Arabidopsis thaliana: one gene and its partners. The protein of the gene in region 3 interacts with the protein of the main gene of each other region in a biochemical or structural test. Each region holds a gene or a part of one and is shown on either strand. Other genes may lie near its edges.

Evidence for each region.
Region 1: the proteins of AT5G11710 (region 3) and GAMMA-ADAPTIN 1 form a complex in vitro, tested with the Arabidopsis thaliana proteins (one study listed by BioGRID).
Region 2: the proteins of AT5G11710 (region 3) and SGR4 form a complex in vitro, tested with the Arabidopsis thaliana proteins (one study listed by BioGRID).

Annotation. Positions count from the first base shown.
Region 1 is NC_003070.9:8,439,332-8,447,087, reverse strand, and holds the start of GAMMA-ADAPTIN 1 (gamma-adaptin 1), read right to left. Parts: upstream 6,010-7,756; 5' UTR 5,710-6,009; coding exon 5,678-5,709; intron 5,635-5,677; exon of another isoform or gene 5,321-5,634; coding exon 5,018-5,320; intron 4,843-5,017; coding exon 4,701-4,842; intron 4,603-4,700; coding exon 4,429-4,602; intron 4,165-4,428; coding exon 3,985-4,164; intron 3,461-3,984; coding exon 3,306-3,460; intron 3,072-3,305; coding exon 2,981-3,071; intron 2,878-2,980; coding exon 2,714-2,877; intron 2,581-2,713; coding exon 2,526-2,580; intron 2,374-2,525; coding exon 2,251-2,373; intron 2,166-2,250; coding exon 2,070-2,165; intron 1,944-2,069; coding exon 1,816-1,943; intron 1,570-1,815; coding exon 1,465-1,569; intron 1,365-1,464; coding exon 1,102-1,364; intron 942-1,101; coding exon 699-941; intron 610-698; coding exon 434-609; intron 313-433; coding exon 208-312; intron 32-207; coding exon 1-31. Other genes in the region: AT1G23890 (NHL domain-containing protein), read left to right, coding at 6,285-6,339, 6,424-6,594, 6,911-7,075, 7,207-7,407, 7,493-7,590, 7,676-7,756. UniProt on the Arabidopsis thaliana protein: Subunit of clathrin-associated adaptor protein complex 1 that plays a role in protein sorting at the trans-Golgi network and early endosomes (TGN/EE).
Region 2 is NC_003076.8:15,819,252-15,824,414, reverse strand, and holds SGR4 (Vesicle transport v-SNARE family protein), read right to left. Parts: upstream 3,123-5,163; 5' UTR 2,858-3,122; intron 2,408-2,857; 5' UTR 2,381-2,407; coding exon 2,287-2,380; intron 2,197-2,286; exon of another isoform or gene 1,978-2,196; intron 1,759-1,977; coding exon 1,700-1,758; intron 1,613-1,699; coding exon 1,424-1,612; intron 1,320-1,423; coding exon 1,149-1,319; intron 977-1,148; coding exon 824-976; 3' UTR 575-823; downstream 1-574. Other genes in the region: AT5G39520 (hypothetical protein (DUF1997)), read left to right, coding at 1-19, 106-303, 400-495; GNL1 (GNOM-like 1), read right to left, coding at 4,505-5,163. UniProt on the Arabidopsis thaliana protein: Functions as a v-SNARE responsible for targeting AtELP-containing vesicles from the trans-Golgi network (TGN) to the prevacuolar compartment (PVC) and mediates liposome fusion. May be also involved in retrograde traffic to the cis-Golgi.
Region 3 is NC_003076.8:3,770,388-3,777,162, reverse strand, and holds AT5G11710 (ENTH/VHS family protein), read right to left. Parts: upstream 4,763-6,775; 5' UTR 4,698-4,762; intron 4,594-4,697; exon of another isoform or gene 4,572-4,593; intron 4,546-4,571; exon of another isoform or gene 4,456-4,545; 5' UTR 4,183-4,455; coding exon 4,142-4,182; intron 4,051-4,141; coding exon 3,999-4,050; intron 3,612-3,998; coding exon 3,532-3,611; intron 3,444-3,531; coding exon 3,365-3,443; intron 3,277-3,364; coding exon 3,193-3,276; intron 3,106-3,192; coding exon 2,960-3,105; intron 2,874-2,959; coding exon 2,655-2,873; intron 2,440-2,654; coding exon 2,306-2,439; intron 2,174-2,305; coding exon 1,983-2,173; intron 1,788-1,982; coding exon 1,382-1,787; intron 1,098-1,381; coding exon 847-1,097; 3' UTR 501-846; downstream 1-500. Other genes in the region: AT5G11720 (Glycosyl hydrolases family 31 protein), read right to left, coding at 91-323; AT5G11700 (ephrin type-B receptor), read left to right, coding at 6,040-6,775. UniProt on the Arabidopsis thaliana protein: May have a role in transport via clathrin-coated vesicles from the trans-Golgi network to endosomes. Stimulates clathrin assembly. Does not seem to bind to phospholipids.

The DNA of each region.
Region 1 (7,756 bases), on a different chromosome or scaffold from region 3:
ACCCAATCCTCATGCGCATCACAAGAGATTTCTGCAATAAACATTAAACCCTTAGTGTTATGTTAAGTCACTGAATCCACAGGCTCAGCCTATCTTTATTTGAGCATAGATTATGTTGTGGATCATCAAGTGCTATTCATCAATGCTGAGCACGGAATGTTGAAGACATAAAGTTAGATAGAAAGACGAACAGAGAATGTGCCATACCTTCCCCTGCTGGCTGTTAGTGACTCTTAGATTCTGCGTGATGGCACCACTACCGCTTGCCAGGAGTGTGTTACTGCTAGCTGGATCCAAGTGCAGCTGGAGGAACTGGAAGTTACACAAAAGAAAGAGAAGGTTAAAGAAAAAATTGAAATCTATTTACTGCTTTATCAATTGGGAAAGATGAATAAAGGGGAAAAAAGCAAAAAAAGAAGATAGATGTAATTACCTTTGGAACAGCAGCCTGGAATATAAAATCTGTGAAAGTATTGGGAGATAAATTAGTAAAAGTAGCCTGGACATTTGTCGTTTGCAGATTCCCTGGTGTCTTTGAGAAGGTGAACTCAATCTTCAAGGAGCTGCTCTCGTATGCAACAATAGGTGCATAAGCTGGACCATTGGTGGCTGCAATAAGGAGGAAAACTTGTTATTGACCTTTGTAAAAGAGTTTCAATGATTATACAGATCTTTTTCAGGTTAAGACTTTTTCCTACCTTCCTTCGATGGGCTTGGAGAAAGACCATCTAGCAAATCAAACATACCGGTGGACGAAGTTGTTGCTACGTGAGGTGGAGCTGGTGAAGAAAGTGTGTCTAGCGCAATTGAGGGATTATTGTTAACGTCAGCTATTGATAATAAACCAATAGATGATGTGCTGTTTTGTGCAGGAGAAGGTGTTCCAATTGATAGAATATCCAGCAACAGATCTGTGCCAGCTTTTGGAGCCTGGGTTGCACCTGAATCATTGGATAAAAAATGGAAGACCAAACATGAGTTATCCTTTTGCAAGGCAATGAGGAAAATGATTTTTTTAAAAACTTGTTCATTCAGAGACACATAGCAGATGAGCACGCCATAATATGAACGCAAGAGCTGTAGAACCGCCAAAGAACTAACCATATTGTGCTGACGATGAACCTAAGTCTACACCGAGAAGATCCTGAAGGAAATCTGTACCAGATGGACTAGGTGCAGCCATGATATCGTCAGAATCTAGGTCTAGCAAGTCCACAAGAGGAGCGACAGGAAGTTTCTCAACACCATTTTGAAGGCTAACTGAAGGCTTGGCCATGGTTGAAACTGATGCAGGAAAAGAGCCGGCCCTCCTCACATTGAAAGTAGCCTCATCCAGTACCGGCATTCTGTCAACCAGAGAAGACCTGTATGCACACATACCTCTATCATGAGCTTTGAGGGAGAGAGAATATGAAAAACTTACACTAGAAGATAGATGAGGAAGAGAGGCACAAGGGATTCCACCTGATATTTTTATGCCTGTCAACTATAGAATTGTATTCAATAGCTCTCTGCTGCATTTCAAGGAGAAGGCTTCCTTTCTGCTTCACAATTATGTCTTTAATTCTCCTGTCATTGAATTTTAGAAAACTTTTTAATTATCAATAGAGAGTTGAGGACAGGATGTACATGTATAATATATTTCTAATCTTTTTTCAGAAGGCAACGCGCTACAGTTTCTTGTAGACAGACCAAAATTTATTATTCATATACTAGTGCGCATATGCATCTTGTGTAGAGTTGAAAAGGGATAAGTGCAGATATCAGATGAACGAGTTGAGATAAAAACAGATAGCACAACGAGGTCAGACATACTCTGAAATAGAAGGAAAGCGGGATGACAACTTCAGTAGAGCAACCAATGCCATTGCTTTTGTAGTCGAATCTGAGTTATGGCGAGTAATGGCATCCTCGATAACGTCCACTGCATCAGATTCCGTTACCTGCTCAAGGCAGTCACATACTCGTTGCATATTTTTCAAAGCAAAAATGAAATCCCAAGAAGCAAAAGCATCTGCATATTTATCATGGAGCAAATAATGAATTAAGATTGCCATTGTGATGCTCACCGTTATTGGATCTTCAATACCAAGCATCCCCACATTGTTAACCAACAGATCACCATATTCCCCAATGCACCATACCGCCACTCGGACAAGGGTCTCCTGGTTATCATCTCAACGAAACCATATTAGAAAGGGTTACAACTGATTGAGGACTGAGCACAATCTAACATTAGAAAATAGCTACCTGTTCCGAATAAGTCAAGACTGATTTGTACAAGGCCCTAACTGTATATCCATGAAGCTCTGATGCATTGCTTATGACAACAATAAGTGCATGCCACACATCATCTTTCACAAACTTTCCAGCCTACTAACATGGAATAGATGACAATAGGTTATGACAGATACAAACAATGCATTTGAAATTAGCTTAAGCAGATATAAACTCTCAAACGATTTCAAAGAGTGCAATTAACTGGTAACACGTTACAGAGCATATTCTCGCGTTTGAATCCATACCTCACACAGAACCTTGAGCATCTGATCAATGTACCATAGTTTTTCTGGAGAAAACCTACATTATCAAAAAATTTAAAAAGTCAACAAAAACTTCAATCAACTAGACATTCACAGTAACTTTCCAATCATCCTGACCCCCAACTTTCTCAGAGTAAGTAGTCATTCTATTTCTTAAATAGAATACTTACTTTTCAACGATAAAACAAATTTTTGCACTAAGATCTTCCTTAAAATCTTCGTCGCTGATTTCCAAATAATCAATTAGCTCCTTTGTCAGTTGTGTGACATTGTTTTCATTCACCAAAAGAGTGACAAGCTCAAGAGCTCTTTTCCGGATAGAAGCATCTGGGTCCTATATTGTTATGGAAGCAGAAACCAAATTAGCATTTTTTATTTCTCTAAGATATACTTAGCAGTTAACATTGTATAAAATATTTTCCTGGTAATACTAATACCTTCACACATTCCAAAATTGTAACTCTGTGCCTTTGCACTGCTTGATCATCGAAAGTGATAGCTTTCATCAGCATGTTTAATGCAACATATCTGAGAGAACGAAAGTATGAATTTCATAAGGGAATGCAGCGTTTTTGAGAGAAACGAAATCAAGATTAGAAAAGGCAACGCTGGTTGGTCAGAAGAGCATTGTGTGCTTCATAGAGTTAAGCACATCCAAAGAAAGATGATAGACAGAAGAAAAATACAAGTAAGCTAGTTCCATTACAAACATATATAATACCATACTATTATCAAATAAAATTGAGGTGTAGGGGGTTGAACCTGATGTTATTGTCGCGGTTAGATAAGAATCTTCCCAAGATATTGATAGCAAGCACACGCAAGCTATTGGTGTCTTCAATGGCCATGATTGTTTCAACACACTCATAGAGTACCGCATTCCCTGCGTTTTTGTTTGATTCAGTTTTTGTTGCCACCTACAATAGCATGAAACCAACGAGAATAAATATCAAAGAACCAGGATAACAAAGTATCCGACAGTAGATCCCTGACTTTGAACTCAAAAGATTTCCAAAACAAAGCATGTAACAGACGCAGGATGCATTCATCATGGTGAGATAGAAAAGGATTGGCGCAGCCTACAGATTTATATGTCCGTCCACAAATCAACACTTACTATGACAACAAAGACCGGTATCAAAAGAGGGAGAATTCAAGTACGGCAAAAACTCAGTAACCAATAAGTCTTCTATCTACCAAAGAGAATAATAGCCCATGAACCCTATCAACGAAATGAAATTCTTTCTCCATTATGCTATATTTAACAGAATCAGTTCCAGCACATGAGAGAGCATAGCTATCTTACAACATTTTTCCGAAAAAATATATGTAAGGTAACTGGAACAAAAACCATAAACCGTTGATGTTTAACAAAGGAATTACATCGCAAATGTGAAGATGGTCAACCATATCCAGAATCACTTGCTAAACTATGACTAACCTGTGCAAGTATATCTGTCATCAAATCACTAGCATCAGCATCACCCTGGCCTAAAACACGCAAGAGCCTGAGCAACCGTATGTGGAGAAAAGGGTCTGTGATCCCTGCAACATCATACTCAGGCTGATATGCGCTATTAGTAATATCCCTCAAAGTTTTTATCAGTCCCTCTGTGCATTTCTGCAGAGACAAAACAAAGACAAGGGTTTGTCAAAACTGACGGTCTGATAAAACAATATAACAACCTGATTGTCTGCCTCATTTCAGCAGAGTAATCTATTTATAAGTGAATACCACAGATATCAAACTTTATTGCAAGAGAAAAATAGTACACAAAAGCATCATACAGGTAATATAGTATCATATGTACGCATATTCAATTAAATTACGTCGATGCTCCTGTATGCATAAGTAGAGTGTTCTGTATAATATTTATAGACTTACCGTTCTGAAGTACTCTAGGGCTTCATCATTAATCGTGCATAATTCATAACAAAGTTGAACTCCTGTTATAAGAACCCCATGATGCTTTTCTTTAAGCAAGGAAGCAGCAGCATTTACGAAGTTTTCTGCTAGATCTGGAACTTTCCTTATTATTCTAGTAGAGCAAAGCGCCGCCTGCATATAATACAACATAAATGGTAAAGGCAATGAAGGAAAAAAAAAAAGCGACTAAACTCCAGGAGACCCTGTATATGAATTAGAAAACACTTCACCTTCTTTCGGATATTAGGGTCACGAAACTGGATTAATCTTTCTACTTCTGGCGCAAGATCACGGGCCATTTCTGCTGAACAAATATTCCCTAAAGCACAGAGAGCAAGTCCTACAACATACTGGTTCGAGTGATTAAGATCTCTGCACGTGACTTAAGGTTAAACAGGAACAAATCTATTTAAATATTTTTCTCCTTAATTCCCATAACAGCAATGCAATCAAAAATCAAGTGTTCTCTAGTATTTTTTAACATAGAAGAAGAATCCATTCAAAGGCCAAGGTATCAAGATTTAATACTAGAAATTAGTAAGGATACTGTTTTAACGAATTTGTGACAAGCATCAACACTTCTTGTCTCTCATCAAGAAGCAACATTAGCCCTAGATATCCAATCCTCTTCTCTGGAAATCCAGGAGATGCAATTAGCTTCAAGCACTCCATCTGCCCAAAGTGTGTGGGATAACCCAGCATGTGTATAAACATGAGTTTCGCAAGGTTCCGGTGCCGATCATGCGGGTCATCTTCATTAATCAATGCTCGAATATCGGCACACTCCTTTCTTACAACAGCTCGCTCCTCCGCAGCTGTTTTGCATGCTCTTATGGCACGGATCATGTCCCTGAATCATACTCATATGTCCACTATAACTTCAGAACCATATACAATAATCCGATCTGATTCCACTATTAAACCCCAACAGCAACATGACCAATCCAATATTCAATTAAATTAAGCAAAAGGATTACCAAAAATCCTTAGTGTGATCATGTTCTTAGACTAAAATCAAAATTCTAAATGGAATCAGAAACACCAATACCAAATTCATCTTCGAAACAGGCCAATCAACAAAATTCAATCCTCAAATGAAAACGAGCTCAATTACATCATGTTATATTCAAATTTCATTTGTAAGCTGATCAACGACTAAGAAACCTGAAACAGAAACGATAAAAAGGAAAGAAGAGAATCAATTTACCTTAAACGAGTACCAGAAGAAAAGGGATTCATGATTTGGGGTGTTCAAGAGTTGGACCTTGGTCCACCGGCAACTTTACGAGGAATCTGAAGAAAATGAAAACTTAGCCGGGAAGAAGAGTTTCGCCGCCGGGATTGTGAAAATCCGTTACCGGAGTTTCGAGTAGCTGATCAATACGAGAGAGAGAGATGAAAATGAAACTGAGGATTTGGATCTCGATGGACGATGCTCGTTTTTTTCTTCTCAGTCTTCGTAAACCATAATTGCCAAATTAAATGCGTTGTATAAACATGACTTCCATTTCCACCTAAACGGTAACGTTTCGACCAGCAATCCTCTCAAAACAAAAACATAGACTGGGCCGTTTCTTTATAGTTAAACACATAAATGGGCCCTACTTGGGCCGTTTTTATTAGTCAAATTTGAGAGGGTCGATGATACGCGCTCTTTCATTGGTTGTTACACAAATTCTCCCCTACACTTGAACACATCATAGTATCGCTCAGGCCCTAGTATCTTTTTAAAACCTTTAAAGATGCTAAGCAGCAAAAATAAGTAACACAACACAAGTTACACAGAACAGTCGCTTTCTCCTCTCGATTTTGACATGGCTTGGGGATTTTCGTCCGTGTCTCTCTTCTTGTTCGTCGTTTTCAATCTGGGTATATTTTCAAAAATCTGTTAATTCAGTTGAATTTCCCAACCCAAAATTCGAATTTTTAATTTTCCTCATGATTTTGTTACAGTGAGTGGTAAGATAGTTTTAGAAGAAGGGTACGAAGTCACAACGGTGGTCGATGGCCATAAGTCTGGTCTGAATCCATACACGATTCATGCTTTACCAGGATCTTCTAATCTGATCGTCCTTGATTCTTCCGGCAGTACATTTTACACTACTTCCTTTCCTTTGTCCGTTGGTAAACACCCACAAAACCACTCTTTTGTCTCATCTATTAATCGGATCATTATAATTGTGTTTGTATATGAGTTGTAAATTCATGGATGCATAAGTAAATGTTTAGAGCTTGTTGATTTTGATTGCAAGTCTTGACCTTCATTTTTTCTTTCTCCGTAATCTCAAATTGGACCACAATACTAATATGTGTGTGTATGTGTGTGAAACGATCAACCTGCAAATAAAAGTTCTAAACTTTACTATAAGTGAAAATTTTGTTTATCTTTCTTTCAATTGAAGTTTGAGCTCACTTTGAGTATGTGTGTGTGGTTGTGCAGATAGTGTGATAAACCGGTTTGCTGGGGATGGGAGTTCGGGTCATGTAGATGGTAAAGCTGGTAACAGCCGGTTCAGCAAACCCCGTGGTTTTGCTGTGGATGCTAAAGGGAATGTTTATGTTGCTGATAAGAGTAATAAAGCTATACGGAAGATCAGCTCTTCAGGTGTTTGTTTAATCCATTTCTTGTATTCCTTTTGTATAAATGCTAGTTGTTGTTGTTGTCTAATCTTAGTTTGTTGAAAGAGCCACTTAGTTTATTTTGATTATGCATGTTTTATTTACTGGACTTTGTAGGTTCTGTAACCACCATTGCTGGAGGGATCTCAAAGGCATTTGGACACAGAGATGGACCTGCACAGAATGCTACTTTCTCTAGCGATTTCGAGATAACTTTTGTTCCTCAAAGATGTTGTTTGCTTGTTTCTGATCATGGAAATGAAATGATTCGCCAGATAAATCTTAAGGAGGAGGATTGCCTCGAAAACTCTCATTCTAGTATGTCTTTTCTATAAGTAATCTTTTGTGGATTTGACTAACCATGCCTTTGGAAACTTCAACGATTCTTCTTTCACTGTTTCAGATTTGGGGACATACTCTCTTTGGTCAATAGGGATTGTCCTTTCCTGCATTCTCGGGGTAGCCATTGGATTTGCTGTTCGCCCTTACGTCATCCGTCATGTAAGTTTTTTTTAATCTATCCTCATATTACATACTAGTGTATAATCAACATATCAAATCTCTTAAACCAAATCGTTATAGACAGGAAGAAGTGAACCACCTCTCGTTCATCATGACATGGAAGCTTCTCCTAACCAAATTGGGGGAACAAGTTCTGACCTTCTTC
Region 2 (5,163 bases), about 12 Mb from region 3:
AGTTCTTGAGCTCAACATGGTAATATTATATTTGTACCACCACATGAATCACAAATTCACTAGTCAGAATTTTTATTGATTTAACATTTGAATTACGATTTTCAGACGAAATGGGAGCTTCAAGGGCTTGACCGAGTAATGGAACCAACTGATTTCACTCTTGGAGTAAAAGGAGCATTATACCCAGACCGGCGTGGAAGGCACACGAGGCTCAAAGGTCGACTAGAAACGACCATTAGCTTCGTGCTTCCTTCAGTTCTCGCGCTTGTACCAGAAGATGTTAGGAGAAACATGGCCAATGCGGTAAGAAACTGTCTTGTTTCATATATGCGATTGGAGACTCAAAATGCTGTGTTCCGGGTTTATACATGATTTATGTTTTTGATTGGCCCTTTACAGATTTTGGCCGGTTTGGTGGATAACATGAAGCATAGGGTTATTGAGAGCTTGGTCGCTGATTATAGCAAATTCAAATATGAAAGAAAAAAACACTAGTAATTGATATCAATGTTTGATCATGTATAGTTCTAGATCCAATATATGAACAATTGTGCGAGATGTAGACCTCGATTGTTTGAAATAATTGAGGCTTTTAATCTCAATGTTTAACCATGTATAGTTCTGGATTTGATATGAACAATATAAACAATATACGTGACACTTAGGCCGAAGCTTTACTTGCTTAAAGTATGTATGGTCAAATTTAGAATACAAAGGTGGCAAAACAACTTTTCACACAAAAAGAAGAAACAGGATAAATCAAAGACTCACAAAACGAAAACAACCGTTGTTCTTTGATTTGGTCGGATTTAGTTACAGAGGCTTACTTGGTGAGTTTGAAGTACAAGATGATGAAAATGGCGGCAATCAATGCGATGATGATGGCTCCAATGGTCCATTTGTTCTTGTTCATCCTCCTCGTCATGTCTGTCAAGATCTTCTTGCTCTTTCCAATGTTATCGTCTACTCCATGAAGCTGTCAACAGAGTTCTAAATTTTGGTTAGCGCGATATCAATCCAGCGTTGATAAAGAAAACAAGAAAACATAGTCTTCTTTATGATATAGCCCTTAATTCTCATCTTATTTTGTCACTTTGTTCAGAATATCGTTGAGAATATGGAGTAAATGTGTTGCAGAGAGACAATACCGTTTCGTGGGCACGTAAGAGAGACTGTCTCTGACCGTGCAAGTCTTGGAGGATTGAAACACCGATTTCTTCAGTCTCCATCATTGTTCTACGACTGTCCTTGACTCTGTCAGTGGTTCGGCCCAGACGCTCAGTTGACATCATCAATCTTGCTCTCTGATCAGCTGAAGCCTGATCTCAGCGTTTCAATAAAAAAAGAAAATCATAGGTCGTTTTAATAGCAAAGATATGAGATGAGATAAAATTGAAACAATACTACCGAGTCCTTTACATACCGTCTTTGTGTCAGCCATACCAGCTTCTAGCAACTCATCACGAGCAGCAGCGTTCAACTGTCCAGATGTGATTCTCTTCACTTCAGTTTTGAAATTGTTCAGATCAGACTTGAATTCTCTTAATTTGACAAGGAGGCTGGACTTAAGATTAGGTGGAAGGGTCCTTGCCTCGAGATCCATTTTCCTAATCTGGTGAAGAAAAGGACAGAGAAGCATCAAAATGAATAATGGACAATAGAGAAGCTTCTATAACTTCACGTTACGCATATCACATACCAATACTTCTGCATTTTCCAGCCCGGATTTTATTTCAGACAACTTCTGCTTCTTTTGTTCTGCAAATTAATAAGGTATCATCAATGCATTTTTATCTATGCAATCAACAGAGCATACTCATCTAGGGGAAAAAAAACAATCCCGATGATCAGCGAACACTACTAATCACAATCTCCAAAGAAAGCAAAAGAAAGGCACACTACTATGTCCTAGCAACACATGAAGGAGACAAGAAGTTTATAGTCATCAAACACAAACCAAACTATCTATAGAATCGTTCTCAGTAACAAACAAAAACCGAAGTATCCCCAGTGTAAAAAAATGGCGATGATCAGCGACCAATACTAATCACAAGCTCTCTTCGTAATCAGAAACCAATACTATGTCCTTACAACGAAGTAGTAATTAAAGGATCTAAATCGCACAATACTCTGCATCAAAAACACAAACCAAGATATCTCTAATTCGTACATTGTTACATTCATAAGCTAAACCAGAATTAGTTATTTCAAATCTTAAGGAAGGTAAGGCAATGCCTGAGTAGGAAAAGTATCACATCTTAGAAAAGATTAGAGTAACAATTTTACCTCCATCAAGCGAAATAGCAGAGGAACACTTCTTTGAAAGACTCGCCGAGAGCTCACAGTATTGTCGCTCATATCCATCAAACACGTCACTCATTGTTCCAAAGGAAGACTACTAAAAACTCTGCAGAATCAGCAACACACACAATGATGATGAACCCTAATTCTGATTAAGAACAGATTACATTAAGCTGAAACTTTAAGAACAGATTCAATAGCCCAAAACCATCAACAAGACTAGGCTATTGAAATTCTTACAACGATTCAAAAGATAAAACTAAAATCAATTGATTGTTTTGTATAGCAGTCCAAAACCCTAAGATAACTAGATCACGTACAGAAGAAAGAAATGTCAACACGGGGAAAAAGGAGAAAAAAAAAAGACAGAAAAGTAAAATTGACGGATCAAAAGAGAAAAAGGATGACGAATAAGTGACGAAAATTCCGGTGATCGGAACAAATGGAAGAGTTTAGCCGGAGTATAAGCACAAAAAATTAGGATCAAAATTAGAAAGCAGAATCACAATCAGAAAAAGAGGAATTAGGCGAAAAATAGAGAAAGCCAGATTGAGACCTGAGAAGGTAACGGGGAAGAGGAGGTACGTCGGAGTCGGAAAATCGATCGGTGATGACAATTGTGGAAGACGACGATGAATTGATTTGATGATGCGTACGTCTATGAATGATCTATGGAAAATATGTTCGACGGTTGAGTAATTATATCCTACATCTAGGCTTTGTACACCACTTGGCCTTTTTTTTGTCCAGATCTTTTGGCAATGCCACTGCCTTGTTGGGCTTGCGGATCTGCCATTTTTGGTGTTGCGAAAAGACTCTTCTAGGGCCCAAACTTTTATAGGTCACTGAAAGTTAGTTTTTTTCTTTTTCTGTTCTTAATTGAGGCGTGGGCATTCGGGTACCCGTTCGGGTTCGTTTTTTTTTCCGGGTATTGGGTCTATTCGGGTAGGAGGTTGAGAACCATTCGAGTATTCTAAAAATTCGGTTCGGTTTCGGTTCGGGTTTGGGTCGGTTCGGTTATTTTAGTAAAAATGTAAAAATAACCAAAAATACCCAAAATATTTTTGGGTTCGGGTTAGATTCGGTTTTTTTATTCATATATACCCAAATCAACCCGAAATACCCAATTACCCGTAAATATATTGGTTACTTTTTATACAAATATAACCAAATGTAACCAAAATACTTAAATTATCTAAAAGAAAACTATAACATTTGTTACTTTTACCCAAATATATCCAAATATATATGAATTACTAAAAAAATCTAGTATAATCGGATTTATAATTTTAATTTTGGTATTTGAGGTATTACAAATATATATATATAACTAATATATTTAAGTTACATTCGTATTCGGGTACCCACGGGTATTAGATTCGGTTCGGGTTCGGTTCGGGTTTTTTCGGGTAGTAAGGTCGAGGACCCATTCGGGTAATTCTAAAAATCGGATTCGGGTTCGGTTTGGTTATTTTTCGGGTTTTTCGGTTCGGATATTCGGTTCCGGGTATTATGCCCAGGCCTACTAGTTAATTTTTTGGGTTTTTTAAAAACTTTAAATGTTATTAAAATATTGAGATTTGGTTTTGATGATTATCATTTTTCTTTGTCGTTACTCGTTTTCATTGAATTTTTCAAGTTCTTTTCGTTTATAAATTTATAACATTCAAAATTATAACAAATATTTATAATATTTAAAACTTCATAAAGTTTATAAATTATAAATATTTAAAACGTTTTATAAAGTTTAAATTTTTAAGAGTTTGAAAATTTGTAATATTTAACTGTTAATAAAGTCACACAAGCCAAGAATTAGAGTCCAAAATTTTATAGGTCATTTTGTTTTTGTTCTTAATTCTTTGTTTTTAAAAAATGTTATTAAAATAGTGAGATTTGGACCAAAAATTTACTTTTCTTTTCTGGTTTTGATGAGTACCATTTTTCTTTGTCAGTACCATTGAATTTTTCAAGTTCTTTGTATAATAGACGCAGCAGTTTCCAAATTGCCTCCAAATATATTTCCAATCAAACCCATAATTTCAACATAACATTCCATAAAAAAAACAAAAGCTCAAGACTCCAAAGTATTATAATCCCCCTATATTAAAAACAAAAAAGCTATACTGCAAAAAAAAAATTGATATCCTTGATTAAGCTTTTTCATCTGTATAGAACAAATTTTCTCTATTCCACCAAAACCGTCTCAGACCTCATTTCCCGGTACCGGAGGATCCTCAGGCTTCGCGTTTCGTCTCTGAAACTGATCAAGCTCCTCTTGAGGGAAAACTTCAGATTGAAGAGAAGGAGAGATCTTATTAACGTGAAGCCACGTTAGTTGCCAGAAACTGTCACTTCCGATATCATCACCTGGTAATAAAACTCCCGTCGCCTTCATTACCAGTAATGTGTTCTTGAGCAGTTCCGGGATGAGTTCATTGACTTTCTCGCTGCGTTTTCCTCTGAATTCAGTTGACATGTACGTTTCCAAACGGTTTAAGACACCAACCCAAAGTCTGCAGAATGATGGTTGCTGTGAGATGTCTTGAAGAGATTGCAGAAAAGCTTTTGACATGAGCTTTGTGGCGAGAACAAGCGTTTCTTCCACTGTTTTCTTGAGAGTCTTCCTTGAATTCTCGATCGAAAAAGTGAGCACATCGTCTAGCAATATGAAGACTGCGGAATCAAAGCATTGGAACCATAGAGGTTGTGGTAACATGATCCCGTCTGCACCGGCTATAGCTCGTTGCAGCATTGAGATTGCATGGTTTCTCACTTCGTCGCGTTGATCAAGACATACTTTTTTGAGGTTCTTCACAAGTTTGAGCCACATTTTTCCAATATCTTCACTTAGTTTCATCATAG
Region 3 (6,775 bases):
CCTATATAATCGCACATTTTAAATTAGTTTGAAAAACTTGCTAAATTTAGTTTTTTTGGAGATTGGTTTGAGAGAGGAGATTATAATGACCTGACATGAAGATTAAGCGATTTAATATCTGGTGCGTAAACGGACGATGGTTTTATCAGATCAAGCTTCGCCGTCAAAACTTGCCGGTTAGAATCAACGCCCACTGATCTAACGACGTAGCCGTATCCAACGACTGTGGATTCTTCTTCTTCTAGTACAACTTGTGAACTTCTCAAGGAGAAGAAGACGACGACAACGATGAAGATATTGGGAAACCAGTGAAGAGATGACATTTTTTATTTTGGTGTTGGACTATTTTTTTTTGTCACAACTACTCATTTTCTTTGTAGATAAGACTATTCTATATTTTAATCATTCGTGACCGGAGAACTAAATTGTGTAAGATAAGATTAGTGTTAACATAATCACTAAGAATGAACTTGGTCAATATGAATGTGAATAAAACAACTGAGAAGAAAGTTGGAGTCTCTTTCGGATTAAGAATCACACGCGATAAAAAAAATATTTGTTGAGTGGGAAGAGATACATATACTTTTGTTCTATGAACAAATCGAAACTTTAAACCAATAATAAAAGTACTCTCTTATCAAAAAAAACATAAAGACAATTCTTCTCTCTCTCATTTAAACCCAAAGTAAACGCCACAACAACAATGGCACATCAGTCACCGACCAGATTGTCCCATGAATGAAGTGCAAGAACAACAAACCCATTAAAAAAACTTACATTTCCAGTATGGAATGTAGAATCAAACTTGATATGCCTTTTCATCTCAACACCAAATCACAGACAATTTCACTGCTTAAAGCCACCAGATTGGTACCTTTGGTTACTGAGGCTGGAGAAGAAATCGTCTGAGATATCAGGTGCTTGTTGTTGTTGTTGTTGTTGCTGCTGCTGCTGTGTACTGTATAGGCCAGTTTTACCAAGCCCGGATCCTGCACCCATGGACCAGCCTGAGTAGTACGATGCAGCAGATGCTTTGTTCCCATCTTCATTGCTCAGATCCCCCACAACACCCACATCAGCTAGAGAAGCTTTTTTGGCTGGTTACAGGGAAAATAATAATCAGGACTAAAATCGAACTTAGAAACTAAAACCCAACAATTTCTTTGTCGTGACACCATGCAAACAAGCTACATGGTACTGGAACTTTATGTGAGCTAAGAATTTTGATTTGTAGAATGTACTGTTTGAAAAATAGTTGGAATGTAATCGAACAACTATACCTTTTGGGTTTGACTGCATCTAATGAGAAAATAAAACATTTTTTTCTTATAGTGCAGATCAAATGAGAGAGTTCTCGATAGAAGAGGAAGTAACGACTTACGAGCAGTTATATTGAGATCAATCAGTCCACGGCTCAGCGAATCTGCCCAAATTCCTGATTTCACCTGGAAAGGATCTTTCTTTTGCAAATGTTGTGGCTTCGAGTCTGCGAAAGACAGCGGGCTTGTGGTGTTTGTTGCACTCCCATGTACACTTGGAGCTTGTGGACCTGTAGAAACTGAAGCCGAGTGGGAAGTGAAGGCACCAAAAGGATCTGATCCATCAAAATTATCCATAGGAACTGCAGCAAATGGGTCAACAATGTTGGGAGTAGCCATAGACTCAGGTATTGATATCTTGGCTTCTGGGCTTACAACTGATTCAGAAGATGCAAAGAGATCAACCGTCGGAGGAGCTGAAGAAACTGTGACAGAAGGTTCAGACGCAGAGAAAAGATCAACTTGTTTCTGTAGAAACAGAAATGCGGAAACACATCAGTCAACGATTCAACAGCACAAGTAATTGTGAGGTGTAAAGAACGACTTCAACAGACAAACGTTTTTGTCAATTAGCGAGAAATTGCATCACATAACTGGACAGTTAATAAGGGAATTTTCCATTGTTAAAAGCTGCATACTAGCTTAGATGAAAGAAGTCACCACCTGTGTCTGTGACCCAAATTCAGCTCCCTGAGCCGAGGCTGATACAAAAGCTGCATCAGCAAACAAGTCCGCCTCTTGAAAGTTCTCGTTGTTGTTGGTGGAAGATGTTTCTGTTGGCCCAGAATCCAAGAAGTCACCAATCAGATCTCCTCCAAAAAGGTCCACTTGGTTGGCACTGCCTGTGGATGGCTCTGCCAAAAATAAAAACCATACAGGTAAGACATGCACATATGTCTATCATAAATACATGTTTATCAAACCAACTTTCTCCCGAATGAATGATAAACAATCTGCAAACTCAGCAGTCGTAGAGAGAAACATACTATTACTGGAAGTTCCCCGTGGATCAAAATCATCAAAATCATCATCGTTGTTTGAAGGAGCTGCAGATACATATGACCTATGTTTGGCAGAATCGGGTGACTTTTTACCACTGGATAGATTGTCATGGTCCGTGCTGCACATTCAGAATTGGAATCGAGTGAGCAAGATTGCACGATTAATTTACTCGACATCAGAAAAATGGTACACAAAATGAGACTAATGAGTCATAAACCAAACCAGAAATAAGAAAAGAAAAGCAAACAAGCAGCCTCTTTTGGAAAAGAAAACTCCCATAGTCTACCCAAAATATGTAACGAACATCAGAAAATGAATGGGGTTGACATAAACCTGCCATAGCGTGAAAAACTCTTCTTAGAAGTGTAGCTTTGCTCCTCAGTTTTAACACCACGTCTTGACTTTTGAAAAGACTCGTAGTCATTCTTGTCTTCTCTGGAATCTCTATCCTTGTAGCTGTCAAAATTGCTTGAACCACTTTGAAAACTACCACCAAATGAAGCTGAGGAACCAGATTTATATGTTATTCCCGTTGATGAGAGGCCAACATACCTAATTGGAGGCAGAAAAAAACGATTTAAGGCAAAGTAGAAAGAAGAACGGTCAGACCAATTATTTCCACTTGTGTAAAAACTAACTTGTTACGATTTGCTACTGCTTTGTCTCTGATTTCTGAGATTTTCTCTTTATTATTTAAAAGAGCGACTATGTTTTCCGCCTTCTTTCTCACGTTGATTCCCACATCTTTCCCATTTGGTTCAACATACTCAAAACTTGTGAGTGACTACATGGATGACAAAGATCTAGTCAGTAAAAAAAACACAATCTTAGAGAGAACTGCATATCAATATGTAAAGAGAAATAAACTGACAGATATTTGGTAAGTATGCTCAATAATCTCATCAACCGCTCGTTCTGATCCATTCGAAATCAGATAATCAATAACAGCCAATGCCTGGCAGGAAATGAAATAGAAAAACCTCAGGACACAACAAAACTATAAACTTCCAAATACAGTAGGAAAACGTCAAGAAGATACTCACCTTGTAGACATATCGCCAATCTTTTCCTGTCTCACTTAGTCTAGTCCACAAAACACTCATAACCATCTGGCACTCCGAGCTAAACATATGGCAAGTGCACATGTTAAGCAATAGCAAATCAAAAAAATATTTCCAAGTAGAATCACGAAAATGAAGCCAGAGATTACAATTTCTTCGTGGCCTGAGCTATCTCTGCCAATGCAGTACCATGGGGACCCCAAGGCTCATTATCTGTAGCATCCAATACCTGTACTAAACATAGCCATATATAATTATGAAAGGGTATCACATAATACTGAATTTGAAGAGATGATCAAACTCAAAATCCATGAAACATTGCCGCCAATTTAAGTTTACATGACGGCTCAAGCTTATCTTCTATAGAAATATGAACTCGATATTTGTGAGTCCCAAAGATGGATCTAATCTCTAGGAAATAGCAACTGTGAAGAAACTCAGCATCCGAACACAGAAACATAACAAATCCAGCTCAAATATTCAGGATTAGTGTCGATTTTCGATCTAGCAATTTTTATTTTCGTGCAATAGCTAAATCTATAGAAAGTTTTCGATCATTTTGCCTAGTAATCATGGATACAATTTGCACATATGGATACGAATCAAATAAATTCACCTTTTGCTCCATCTCAGGGACCTTCAAAACTTTCAGATTCACCTCCCTTTTTCTGTAATTGAAAACGAATCGAGATCAATCGAAAAAATATATAAAACCAAAGATCTACGGATTTGGATCGATAGAGAAAACGGAAAACCCACATCTCTCGAACAGTTTGATCGAAGACCTTCATGAAATCCATTTGGAATCCGCGAAAATGTTATGAACAAAGGAACGAAAACTGGCAAAATTTTGGTGCGAGGAGAAGTGTAGATCTAATCAGAGATGGCTCGTCTTTGTATTATGAGTTTTTTTTTTTTCAATGAAAGGCAACAACAAATAAAAAGTTAGCAGCTAGAACCGATTTTCTCGCGTAATTAGTTTTTAAAGGCGTCAAATGACTGTAAATTCGACCTGACCGTAGCCTGATCCGCAGTCTCCGATAGTCACGGCTATTGGTGGGTTGTTCAATAACCTACATGTATACAACAAAAAAAAATTGAATCCATTTCGTTTCAGTAAATAACACAACGAGTTTTAAGACCTAAGGTAAATTCTTCGAAATATTATCCAAATATAATTTATCCGAACCACTTCACGAAATAATTTAGTTGAATACTTTAAAGCACTTCAACGAAATGGCTCCGAATGGATTATATATATAATTTTTCCAGTAATGAATGTTGTTAGTGAAGATCATATTACTCTCTTCTATACCTTACTTTGTAAACGTTTTAAGTTTAATGCAATAAAATCCTTTTCTGGGGGAAAAAATATAATCCAGTTGAATATTGTTGGTCAGATAAGATTAAGTTTATAACATTATATACCCATTTTTCTATATTAAATATATCTACTACAATTGTCTTATTGAAGAAGTCAGCATGATGAGTCATATACGAGTCAAATTGCATTTGTTTTTAACTCTGGTACCAACCAATAAACCACGTAATATCAGATTATACATCACGTATCCCACTAGTTTAAATTAGTTTTTGCTGACCATGCACAATCTCTTACTTTGAACATAGAGTGTCCCCAATACATGTAGTCTAATCACTAAAATCTAATTTTGGATTTCATATGCTTTGAAGCTATAAAGTTGTTTAGAAATTAGCATACACAACAGTACCTTATCATTTTGGGTGAACCATACATTGACATTAGAAAAAAAATACCATTTTGCATTTAGAACGTGAAAATCGAAGTGATTGAAAGATTGGTGTGATGGATTAAAATGTTGGTGTTGATAATGCTGCTAGTTTTCTATTGGGCCAGCCAGATTTGTTTAATTTTTGTTTTTACTTCGTCCAGGTCACACGCATTCTGTTTCTCAATATCAAACAAAAAACACTCACGCTCAAATCTTGGCGCGTCCATATCAAACTCCTTCACAAACAGGGCCCATCAAAGCCCAATTCTTAACACCTTTCAATGTCCGAACGTAACTCCTGACGTTTTAAAAATTTTAAAAACCAAGTCATTAACCCCTTAATATCCAACAGCAAAGCGAGTAATTAAACGTAGTTAGACACGTGTCCTAATTTAATTCGATGTCAAAATAAATTAGGATACCGCTGCCACATCCAGTTCCATGTGAACCACGATGCACAGTAGTATTTCCTTTTAGAGCAATCTAAAGAATGACGTGGCGTAGTATGATTTGTTAAGATTTACCTGATTACGGTGAACTTGCACGTACCAGATCGTAACTACTCTCCGTTCCAACCTGTGTTTTCTTTTCTTCTTGGAAGCTCCCTTCCCTCTCTTTCTCTCTCCTCCGAGAAAGGAAAAGCACCACTTCTCTCTCTAAGACCCCATTTTTCGGTGAAGGTTTATGCGCTTTTCTTCTTCAACGAGACGACTAAAATACGTATACATGCGTATGTTGATGTATGCATAAGTGTTGTTGTGTGTTGGAGATTTAGAAGAGAAGGTTTGTTTGTGAATTTGTGTCTCTGAGGTTGGTTTTTCCAGTTTATTCTTCTCAATGATCCGAATTGGGGTTGAATCGAAAACCTTAGTAGACTTCGTCTGTGATGACTCTTGATACTAGTGGATGGCTCGATTTCAATTTTGCTGCGTCTTCGTCTTGGTCGCTCTTGCGGTTTTGGCCGTAAACCCTAGTTCAAGCTATCGATTTACCATTGTGGAACCGAAATCGGGTTCTGATTCCGATTTGGACTCAGATTCAGAGTCGTTACTTTTCCATCAGGACTACTCTCCGCCTGCTCCGCCACCGCCACCACCGCATGGACCGTCGGTATCTTGTAGCGAGGATCTCGGCGGCGTTGGGTTTTTGGATACTACTTGTAAGATTGTCGCCGATTTGAACCTTACGCACGATGTGTATATAGCTGGGAAGGGGAATTTTATCATCCTGCCTGGTGTTAGGTTTCACTGCCCGATCCCTGGTTGTTCTATAGCTATCAATGTTTCTGGAAACTTCTCTTTGGGAGCGGAATCTACAATTGTCGCTGGGACATTGGAGCTTACAGCTGGTAATGCTAGCTTTGCTAATGGGTCGGCGGTGAACACGACGGGGTTAGCTGGGAGCCCTCCGCCACAGACCAGTGGGACACCGCAGGGGATTGATGGTGCTGGTGGTGGACATGGTGGTAGAGGCGCTTGTTGTTTGACTGACACTAAGAAGCTACCTGAAGATGTGTGGGGAGGTGATGCATACTCTTGGTCGACTCTGCAGAAGCCGTGGAGCTATGGTAGTAAAGGAGGGTCAACTAGTAGAGAGATTGATTATGGAGGAGGAGGAGGTGGGAAAGTGAAGATGGATATTC